Linked DNA regions of Saccharomyces cerevisiae S288C. The protein of the gene in region 1 binds, or shares a complex with, the protein of each later gene. Each region holds a gene or a part of one and is shown in the gene's direction. Other genes may lie near its edges.

Evidence for each region.
Region 2: the proteins of GCD11 (region 1) and SUI3 are in contact, whole or in part, in a cryo-EM structure (PDB 6QG0), measured with the Saccharomyces cerevisiae proteins. Residues at the interface, in NP_010942.1 of Saccharomyces cerevisiae: Gln248 (codon at 2,779), Val251 (codon at 2,788), Asp252 (codon at 2,791), Met254 (codon at 2,797), Arg255 (codon at 2,800), Glu256 (codon at 2,803), Ala259 (codon at 2,812), Leu260 (codon at 2,815), Gln263 (codon at 2,824), Leu267 (codon at 2,836), Ala278 (codon at 2,869), Ile280 (codon at 2,875), Val281 (codon at 2,878), Pro282 (codon at 2,881), Ile283 (codon at 2,884), Ser284 (codon at 2,887), Leu287 (codon at 2,896), Tyr289 (codon at 2,902), Asn290 (codon at 2,905), Asp292 (codon at 2,911), Ala293 (codon at 2,914); in NP_015087.1 of Saccharomyces cerevisiae: Val127 (codon at 2,028), Gly128 (codon at 2,031), Tyr131 (codon at 2,040), Ser132 (codon at 2,043), Leu134 (codon at 2,049), Leu135 (codon at 2,052), Arg137 (codon at 2,058), Phe138 (codon at 2,061), Phe139 (codon at 2,064), Ile141 (codon at 2,070), Leu142 (codon at 2,073), Arg143 (codon at 2,076).
Region 3: the proteins of GCD11 (region 1) and SUI2 are in contact, whole or in part, in a cryo-EM structure (PDB 6I3M), measured with the Saccharomyces cerevisiae proteins. Residues at the interface, in NP_010942.1 of Saccharomyces cerevisiae: Asp322 (codon at 3,001), Asn324 (codon at 3,007), Lys325 (codon at 3,010), Pro326 (codon at 3,013), Gly327 (codon at 3,016), Ala328 (codon at 3,019), Glu329 (codon at 3,022), Ile330 (codon at 3,025), Glu331 (codon at 3,028), Leu333 (codon at 3,034), Lys334 (codon at 3,037), Gly335 (codon at 3,040), Ile359 (codon at 3,112), Ile373 (codon at 3,154), Phe374 (codon at 3,157), Lys401 (codon at 3,238), Val402 (codon at 3,241), Asp403 (codon at 3,244), Pro404 (codon at 3,247), Thr405 (codon at 3,250), Leu406 (codon at 3,253), Arg408 (codon at 3,259), Arg411 (codon at 3,268); in NP_012540.3 of Saccharomyces cerevisiae: Val190 (codon at 2,294), Ser191 (codon at 2,297), Cys192 (codon at 2,300), Phe193 (codon at 2,303), Ser194 (codon at 2,306), Tyr195 (codon at 2,309), Gly197 (codon at 2,315), Ile198 (codon at 2,318), Ile201 (codon at 2,327), Lys202 (codon at 2,330), Leu205 (codon at 2,339), Lys206 (codon at 2,342), Glu209 (codon at 2,351), Asp210 (codon at 2,354), Val220 (codon at 2,384), Leu222 (codon at 2,390), Val223 (codon at 2,393), Ala224 (codon at 2,396), Ala225 (codon at 2,399), Pro226 (codon at 2,402), Tyr228 (codon at 2,408).

The regions. Positions count from the first base shown.
Region 1 is NC_001137.3:203,214-206,968, forward strand, and holds GCD11 (translation initiation factor eIF2 subunit gamma), read left to right. Parts: upstream 1-2,037; coding exon 2,038-3,621; downstream 3,622-3,755. Other genes in the region: carnitine O-acetyltransferase YAT2, read left to right, coding at 1-1,750. UniProt on the Saccharomyces cerevisiae protein: As a subunit of eukaryotic initiation factor 2 eIF2, involved in the early steps of protein synthesis.
Region 2 is NC_001148.4:98,847-102,008, forward strand, and holds SUI3 (translation initiation factor eIF2 subunit beta), read left to right. Parts: upstream 1-1,649; coding exon 1,650-2,507; downstream 2,508-3,162. Other genes in the region: YAR1 (Yar1p), read left to right, coding at 638-1,240; putative serine/threonine protein kinase ENV7, read right to left, coding at 2,762-3,162. UniProt on the Saccharomyces cerevisiae protein: Component of the eIF2 complex that functions in the early steps of protein synthesis by forming a ternary complex with GTP and initiator tRNA.
Region 3 is NC_001142.9:449,294-452,549, forward strand, and holds SUI2 (translation initiation factor eIF2 subunit alpha), read left to right. Parts: upstream 1-1,726; coding exon 1,727-2,641; downstream 2,642-3,256. Other genes in the region: DNA-directed DNA polymerase delta subunit POL31, read left to right, coding at 1-1,372; MHO1 (Mho1p), read left to right, coding at 3,137-3,256. UniProt on the Saccharomyces cerevisiae protein: eIF-2 functions in the early steps of protein synthesis by forming a ternary complex with GTP and initiator tRNA. This complex binds to a 40S ribosomal subunit, followed by mRNA binding to form a 43S pre-initiation complex.

The DNA.
Region 1 (3,755 bases):
ACAAGAAGAAACTACCAATGATGGCGATGATACCGCTGATATCAGTCAAATGTTTAACAGGACTATCACTGAGCGAGACAAGAAATGTACTTCCGCCAATTGTAAGAGAGTGTTTTACGGTACTTCTATAATAAATAGCAAAGGCCATCAAGTGGGTTCATGTGTTTCTCGTTGGTATGATAAATTACAGTTAGTTGTCACTGCAGATGCAAAAGCCACAGTGATTTGGGATTCCTTCACATGTGACGGGTCAGTCGTGCTTCGGTTTACTTCTGAAATTTATACAGAATCAGTCTTGAGATTAGCTAGAGACGTTAACGCCGGTGACCCACAGTTTTCACTCTGGCCTAACGTGACACAAATGGATCCTGAAACTAAAAAACTGATGACGGCGACCATAAGTGCCGACGGCGGAGGCCCTTCTGAAATTGACCCTAAGTTGGTTGTAAATAAAATCGATTGGTCTTTCAGTAACATCCTGAACACACATGTCCATTTGTCAGAAACCAAACTAGCTGATCTGATTTCCAAGTATGATATTGTTCGCGCTTCTATTCCATTGGGCAGAAGGTCAGCTCAAAGATTAGGAGTCAAGCCCGATTCGATGGTTCAAGTAGCTTTACAAATAGCTCACTATGCTTTGTATGGAAGAATGGTGTTTGGATTAGAACCAGTATCCACACGTGGTTTCAAAAACTCGAGATCATCTTTTATTAACATTCAAAGTCAAGCGCTGTTGGAACTATGTCAATTGTTTATTTCTAGCTCCATTGATGGGACAGATAAATTAGACAAATTTATCCAAACCTGCGAAACACATAATAACATGGTTAAACATGCAAAGTCTGGGGTAGGTTATGAAAAACACTTCAATGCATTGAAATATCTCTTCAAATTTCATGACCATTTTGGTATCCACTTAAGTGGTGATGAATCATCTGCTGCGAAAGATCTTTTCGAAAATCCACTTGTTTTACCTTTCTCACAGCCTGAGTTGATTGTTGCCAACTGTGGTAATGCTGCTACCACGACATTTGGTATAACTCCTGCTGTACCTCATGGCTTTGGAATAGGGTACATCATTAAAGATGATCAAGTAGATTTGACCGTGACATCGCAATTTCGACAGGGTGACAGGTTAATGTTTATGTTAAGTTGGGTGTTAGGCGAAATTCGTTCCTACTGGAGGATGTCACGCGGCACTTCTCATAATAAAACTGGCGTGAAGATCAGTCCAGTGGTCGATAAATTGTATGAAATGGACAATGCAGTCAATAATCCTCCGAAACGTAACGGCCATACAGTCAATGGCTCCCGCAAAACATCTTCTTCATCACAGGTAAATTTGAACAGGTATGGCGGGTTTTTCGATTTGGAAGGCCACATTGACAGTAGGAATATATCTAAAACACCATCGATGAAGAATTTGCAGAAAACCTTCAATGGCTTGACCATGAGCGCAGACAATGATCATTCAAGTTCCGCAGTTTCCGTTCCCACAGAAAAGGAAAAATTAAATACAGGCCATGAAATTTTACAGATCCAACCGCGGGAAGTGGCAAGTAATGGGTTGGAAGCAGATGATGAGACAGATATTGAAATAGTTGCTGGCAATGCTGATGGCACATCCTCTTCGGCATCTTCAGCTACATCTCTAAATTCCAAGAAACGTAACGTCATCAACTCAAGATTCGATATTGATTTTGACCGCAGTCGTGTGGGTAGAAAGGTGGCGACCTTAGATCAATAAGAACGCTCTTTGTTTATCTATTTATTACTAGCATTATGCGTAAGCTTGGCGTGATGTGATATATACTTGTTATATGAAGTATATCAATATGCTTTAATTTATGCTTATTATTTGCTCTCATGTCAGTAACCCGGACCAGATTTGCCATTGAAAAAATTTTCATAGAATAGCCCGATGCTGATCATCAGTACAAAAGACAGAGATTTCATCTCGACCTGTACCAGGAGCTAAGCAAAGAGGGCGGAAAGAGCGTAATACACCGTTAACATCGCGCATTAGAGGTAGACATGAGTGACTTACAAGACCAAGAACCTAGCATTATTATCAACGGTAATTTGGAACCAGTTGGTGAACCAGATATCGTTGAAGAAACGGAAGTTGTAGCTCAAGAAACACAAGAAACACAAGATGCTGATAAGCCAAAGAAGAAAGTCGCCTTCACTGGCTTGGAAGAAGACGGGGAAACTGAAGAAGAAAAAAGGAAAAGGGAATTTGAAGAAGGTGGTGGTTTGCCCGAACAACCATTAAACCCTGATTTTTCAAAATTAAACCCACTATCCGCCGAAATTATCAACAGGCAAGCTACAATAAACATCGGTACCATCGGTCATGTCGCCCACGGTAAATCCACAGTAGTTAGGGCTATTTCAGGTGTCCAAACAGTCCGTTTTAAGGATGAATTAGAACGTAACATTACTATTAAGTTAGGTTACGCTAATGCTAAAATTTATAAATGTCAAGAGCCTACATGTCCCGAACCTGATTGTTATAGATCATTCAAATCTGATAAAGAAATCAGTCCTAAATGTCAAAGACCAGGTTGTCCGGGGCGTTACAAATTGGTCCGTCACGTTTCTTTTGTTGACTGTCCCGGTCACGATATCTTAATGAGTACTATGTTATCAGGTGCTGCTGTTATGGATGCTGCGTTACTGTTGATTGCAGGTAATGAATCTTGTCCACAACCTCAAACCTCAGAGCATTTAGCTGCCATTGAAATCATGAAATTAAAGCACGTCATCATCTTACAGAATAAGGTCGATTTAATGCGTGAAGAAAGTGCCTTAGAACACCAAAAATCCATCTTGAAGTTCATCAGAGGTACCATTGCTGACGGTGCTCCTATTGTACCAATATCCGCTCAGTTGAAGTATAACATCGACGCAGTTAATGAATTTATTGTCAAGACTATTCCCGTACCACCAAGAGATTTTATGATTTCTCCAAGGTTAATTGTTATTCGTTCATTTGATGTTAATAAGCCAGGTGCTGAAATCGAGGACCTGAAAGGTGGTGTTGCCGGTGGTTCTATTTTGAATGGTGTTTTCAAATTAGGTGATGAAATTGAGATTAGACCAGGTATTGTCACCAAGGATGATAAGGGTAAAATTCAATGTAAACCAATCTTTTCTAACATTGTCTCCTTATTTGCCGAACAAAATGACTTGAAGTTTGCTGTTCCCGGTGGTCTGATTGGTGTTGGTACTAAAGTTGATCCTACCTTGTGTAGAGCTGATCGTCTTGTCGGTCAAGTCGTCGGTGCTAAGGGTCATTTGCCAAACATTTATACTGATATCGAAATCAACTACTTTTTGCTACGTCGTCTATTAGGTGTCAAAACAGATGGTCAAAAGCAAGCCAAAGTCAGAAAATTAGAGCCAAATGAAGTTCTTATGGTCAACATTGGTTCTACCGCTACGGGGGCTCGTGTGGTTGCCGTTAAAGCTGATATGGCAAGATTACAGTTAACGTCGCCCGCTTGTACTGAAATTAACGAGAAGATTGCTTTGTCGAGACGTATCGAAAAGCATTGGCGTTTGATTGGTTGGGCAACCATTAAAAAGGGTACTACATTGGAACCCATCGCTTAAGGAACCAATAAAACCACTGCAAAGACAAAAATTTCATAATTAATCTGAAAGAAAGTGAAGATAAGAAACGGGCTAGGAGGAAGGGAAACTGACACTTCTGGTTATTGCAATATGCTCATATACATTGATGCGTA
Region 2 (3,162 bases), on another chromosome or scaffold:
ACGGCGTTCTAGAAAAAAAAGAAAAATTCAAAAAGTTCTGCGAAACTCGAAAGAACCAGAATTGTTCGAACAATATGTGACAAGCGTATGAGTTAATAATCCGATTAAGCTTTATTCCTGTTCTTTTTTACGTGTATGTAAAACTGGTTTATGGATTACTGTGTTGAGAGAGGGGGGGTGACACCCTCCGGAATGTGATATATCACACGCTTGCACGTTGGTTCATATCGTAACCACGAAGAATACAAATACGCACACGCAAGCTAAGTTATATTTTAAAATATTCTGTCATCAAGCTTCCAAATACTTCTAACCATCTCTTATTCTCCTCTTAGTAGCCATTCTTTGCCACGAGGAATAAAAAGTCCCGCGCCACTAATTACAGGAAAAGAAAAATAGGACAATTCCATTTGATGTCACCGTGGTAATATCACCATGAACGATGATATGAAATTTTCATAGAATAAGAAGGAAAAGTAATAAAAGAAAAAGAGAATCTGAGAAAAAATCGATGAGTTAATTATCATTTGTGTAAAACAAAAACGAATTGTAATACGATAGGCAAAATTGTTCGCGCTCTATCTCAAAGAAAGTAATTATTTCCAAATAGAAAAAAAAAATCTACATATACGCAGATATGGGCCTACACAGTGAACCGTTAGATCAAGAGGACCAAGACACCATAATACTCGATGCAAGAGCTGGCGATTTGGATTCTCTGAAAGATATATTTACAACTTTAGTCAGTCCCGAGTTACTTTCGACTTGTAAGGAAAGTGAATCTGATTCTACGGCTTTACATATGGCTGCTGCCAACGGTCATATAGAGACCGTTCGGTATATACTGGAGACGGTTTCTCGCGCAAATAGTGCCGAAGACTTGAAAGCTTTTGTTAATGAGGTGAACAAAACAGGCAACACGGCTTTACATTGGGCGTCGTTGAATGGCAAATTAGACGTGGTCAAGCTACTGTGTGATGAATATGAGGCAGACCCCTTTATTAGAAACAAATTCGGCCACGATGCTATCTTTGAGGCCGAGAACAGCGGGAAGGAAGAAGTGGAAACATACTTTTTGAAGAAGTATGATGTCGAACCTGAAGATGATGAAGAAGACACACAAACTGAGGGCAAGAATTCGGTCCAAATCACAAAGGGTACAGAAATTGAACAAGTCACCAAGGAAGCCACCGAGGCTTTAAGAGAAGAAACCGAGAAACTGAATATAAATAAAGACTAAAGTAAAGAGCTTGTTTTCTTCGTGGAATAAAAGCCGTAATATCCATTGAGCATGATATTTTATTTCTTGGTACCGGAGAAGATAAAAGGATGGAACCAGCAGAAATGCATTAATAAATACAAAAAATTTAGAAAAGAGTTACAGTAATAATGTATATTTCTCTCACAAACTAAGTAACCGCTTCAAAAGCGTATATTTTGAATGCATTGAACTTTCCATTTCATTACCCGCAGAGCCGGAGTCCTCATCAACGACGGAGTGAAAAATTTTGTAATTGCGAGAAAAAGTGAAATTGATGGAAAAAAAGAAAAAGAAAGTAGAAGAAGACATTATAAGAGAGACTAGGAAACTTCTTGCACATCAACCGAAAAGCGCCTAGGCAACCAGTCATATAATAAGCACGCACGAGATGTCCTCCGATTTAGCTGCTGAGTTAGGATTCGACCCTGCACTAAAGAAGAAAAAGAAGACTAAGAAGGTGATCCCAGATGATTTTGATGCTGCCGTAAACGGCAAAGAAAATGGTTCAGGAGATGATTTATTTGCCGGATTAAAAAAGAAAAAGAAGAAGTCCAAGAGCGTTTCTGCCGATGCTGAAGCTGAAAAAGAGCCTACTGACGACATAGCAGAAGCCTTGGGTGAACTATCCTTGAAGAAGAAAAAGAAAAAGACAAAGGACAGCAGTGTAGACGCGTTTGAGAAAGAACTAGCTAAAGCTGGTCTAGATAATGTGGATGCTGAAAGCAAAGAAGGCACTCCAAGTGCTAATTCCAGCATTCAACAAGAAGTTGGCCTACCTTATTCAGAGTTATTATCTAGATTTTTCAATATTCTAAGAACTAACAATCCAGAACTTGCTGGTGATAGAAGTGGTCCAAAGTTCAGAATTCCTCCTCCTGTTTGTTTGCGTGATGGTAAGAAGACTATTTTCTCGAATATCCAAGATATCGCCGAAAAATTGCATAGATCTCCGGAACATTTGATTCAATATCTCTTCGCAGAATTAGGTACGTCCGGTTCTGTTGACGGTCAGAAAAGATTAGTCATTAAGGGTAAGTTTCAATCCAAACAAATGGAGAATGTCTTAAGAAGATACATTTTGGAGTATGTCACTTGTAAAACTTGTAAGAGTATTAACACCGAATTGAAGAGAGAACAGTCAAACAGACTGTTCTTTATGGTCTGTAAAAGTTGTGGTTCTACCAGATCCGTCTCTTCTATTAAAACCGGTTTCCAAGCTACCGTTGGTAAGAGAAGGAGAATGTGATGTTGGTGCTTTACCTGTTAGCATATATATAATAAATACGGATTTCGTTTATCTTGTGTATTTTATTCGTTTCATTAGATATTTAATGTTTAAATGAAGAAAAACTTAAAGTAAAAATTTTCATTCACAAAATAAATCTAAACAGCGGTAGGTAATCTTCATTGATCAGAGTGAACACATTGCATGGAGCCAGCCAATCATCGTGTCCTGTTTACTTCCCAAGGACAGGAAAAAGCTTTGAGAAGCAAAACCGATCAAGTGTCTAAATCTTGTAAAAGATTTAATAATTGGCTGGTAGTAGGCCTTTGTATAGGATCCACTTGAATGCATTTCTTGATTACACTCAAAAGCCCCTCAGAAAATCTGGAATTTCTCGGGAAACTGTACTTACCAGTGTTTATAGCGTAGGTTAAAGAAGCTCCATGTATCTGCTCTTCTCGCTCAAAGGGGGAGATACCGAACATTAAAGTATAGAACGTACAACCCAAAGACCAAATATCAACCTTAGAGCTCAAAACCTGATTTAATTTCAAGTTCAGAAGTTCTGGTGGAGTATATGGCAACGTACAATTGTCATTGACCCATTCTTGTAGTTCGCTGAGTTGATGTCTGTTTTCAATTGTTATATCAGCTTGAGAGCAGGAGCCGAGGTCAC
Region 3 (3,256 bases), on another chromosome or scaffold:
CAATCTTTACAACAAATCGAATCCATTCCAACTATGCTATAAAAAACGTGACTACGGTTCTCAGTACTACCACATTTATCAATACCGTCTAAAGACTTTCAGAGAACGCGTCTTAAAAGAATGTGACAAGAGATGGGATGCGGGCTTTACCTTGAATGGCCAATTAGTTCTAAAAAAGGACAAAGTGTTAGATATTCAGGGAAACCAACCATGTTGGTGCGTAGGATCCATATATTGCGAGATGAAATATAAACCAAACGTACTGGACGAAGTGATCAATGATACATATGGTGCACCAGATTTAACTAAAAGTTATACTGATAAAGAGGGTGGTTCTGATGAAATTATGCTCGAAGATGAAAGTGGGAGAGTGCTTCTAGTGGGAGATTTTATTCGGTCTACACCCTTCATCACGGGTGTTGTTGTAGGTATACTGGGTATGGAAGCTGAAGCCGGGACATTTCAAGTTTTAGACATATGCTACCCCACTCCTTTACCACAAAATCCTTTCCCTGCACCAATTGCTACCTGCCCCACCAGGGGAAAAATTGCTCTTGTTTCTGGGTTAAACCTCAATAATACATCACCTGATAGGCTATTGAGATTGGAGATTTTGAGAGAATTTTTGATGGGGAGAATCAATAACAAAATTGACGACATTTCTCTAATTGGTAGATTACTGATATGCGGCAACTCTGTTGACTTCGACATTAAAAGCGTGAACAAAGACGAATTGATGATTTCTCTAACTGAGTTCAGTAAATTTCTACACAACATTTTGCCATCTATATCTGTTGATATTATGCCCGGAACCAATGATCCAAGTGACAAATCTCTACCGCAACAGCCTTTCCACAAATCATTGTTTGATAAGTCCCTAGAATCATACTTCAACGGTTCTAACAAAGAAATTTTGAATTTAGTGACCAACCCATATGAGTTTAGCTATAATGGCGTAGACGTTCTAGCCGTTTCAGGCAAAAATATCAATGATATTTGTAAATACGTAATACCATCAAATGATAACGGAGAAAGTGAAAACAAGGTCGAGGAGGGCGAGAGTAATGATTTCAAAGACGATATAGAGCATCGCCTGGACCTTATGGAATGTACAATGAAATGGCAAAACATCGCGCCCACCGCACCTGATACCTTATGGTGTTATCCGTACACTGATAAGGATCCATTTGTATTGGATAAGTGGCCCCACGTTTACATTGTGGCAAACCAGCCATATTTTGGAACAAGAGTAGTGGAAATAGGTGGTAAGAACATAAAGATAATATCTGTCCCTGAATTCAGTTCTACTGGGATGATAATATTACTGGATTTGGAAACGTTAGAAGCAGAGACGGTCAAGATTGACATTTAAATAAAACAAGGAATAATTTCCACATAGATATGCAATTAAGTTTTATATGTAAAAGTGAGCATTCATCGTTCAGCTCAAAATACGTTTCTTGTCACAGCTGGTAGAAAAACTATGAGCGTTTTTTCTTACCCGCAGTCGGAGAAAAATTTTTTCTTCGAAGAGGCGAAAAAGAGAAGAAGAGAAAGCACAAATCTGATGAAATAGTAGTATAAAATCGCATTTACAAATTTTCAACCATTGTTTATTTCCTAGGTCATTAAAGAGTAAAGTGCAATCTGTTTACTAATCAGTTTTTGTCTTCATATTTTTGTGTCTTTTCTGCTGCCTCACGCACCTTCTATAATACACCAAATAATGTCCACTTCTCATTGCAGATTTTATGAAAACAAATACCCAGAAATTGACGATATCGTCATGGTTAACGTCCAGCAGATTGCTGAAATGGGTGCTTATGTTAAATTGTTAGAATATGACAACATTGAAGGTATGATTCTACTAAGTGAATTGTCCCGTAGACGTATTAGGTCAATCCAAAAATTAATTCGTGTTGGTAAAAATGATGTCGCCGTTGTTCTTCGTGTCGACAAAGAAAAAGGTTATATTGATTTGTCCAAACGTCGTGTTTCTTCTGAAGATATCATTAAATGTGAAGAAAAATACCAAAAATCTAAGACTGTTCATTCCATTTTAAGATACTGTGCCGAAAAATTCCAAATCCCTTTGGAAGAACTATATAAGACCATTGCTTGGCCATTAAGTCGAAAATTTGGTCACGCTTACGAAGCTTTCAAACTATCCATCATTGACGAAACTGTTTGGGAAGGTATTGAACCGCCATCAAAAGATGTTTTAGATGAATTAAAGAACTATATCTCCAAGAGATTAACACCACAAGCTGTAAAGATTAGAGCCGATGTTGAAGTGTCTTGTTTTAGTTACGAAGGTATCGATGCCATTAAAGACGCATTAAAATCAGCTGAAGACATGTCCACAGAACAAATGCAAGTTAAAGTTAAATTAGTCGCCGCCCCATTATATGTTTTGACCACCCAAGCCTTGGATAAGCAAAAAGGTATTGAACAACTGGAAAGCGCTATTGAAAAAATTACAGAGGTTATTACAAAATACGGCGGTGTTTGCAACATTACCATGCCACCAAAGGCTGTCACTGCTACTGAAGACGCTGAGTTACAAGCTCTATTAGAAAGCAAAGAATTAGATAATAGATCTGACTCTGAAGACGATGAGGATGAGTCAGACGACGAGTAATCATTGCCGCGCCTAATTTTTCTAGGTGTTTTCAAGTGTCATACTGTTTTAGAAAATTTTGTATAGAACAAATACGTATATCCTGCCATATCATATTCTTTGCAATATACACCTTGTACATTTGGCTATTATAAATATTACAATCCATTTAATCATAATCAAAATTTAATTTCTGTTACCACGGGGTTGTCAGTGGAGCATGCCCTGCCGGTTCTCTATAATTTATCTTTTTCACATGAGATATTTTTACCTCAAAAGGTAGTGATGCTGTAATAATATGAGGCTCCCCCCTTTCCTTCGGAATTGCATTTAAATCATTGGGGAACACTAAGACAAGACAAAGGGGCCGTCCACTCATGTGATTTTCAACAAAACAGATAACATGCGGATACACACTGATATATTTTCAAAGGAAAGTCTGACTGATACTTAAGTGAAGTGGTCCTAGTCGGTGGCTTAGGTGGACTACAGTGCAAAGAATAGAATTTTTCAAACATGTCAATACGTCCAGCAACACATGCAGGCTCATGGTATTCCAATAGAGCCCAAGAATTATCTCAACAACTGCATACATACTTGATCAAAAGTACCCTTAAAGGCCCAATTCACAACGCC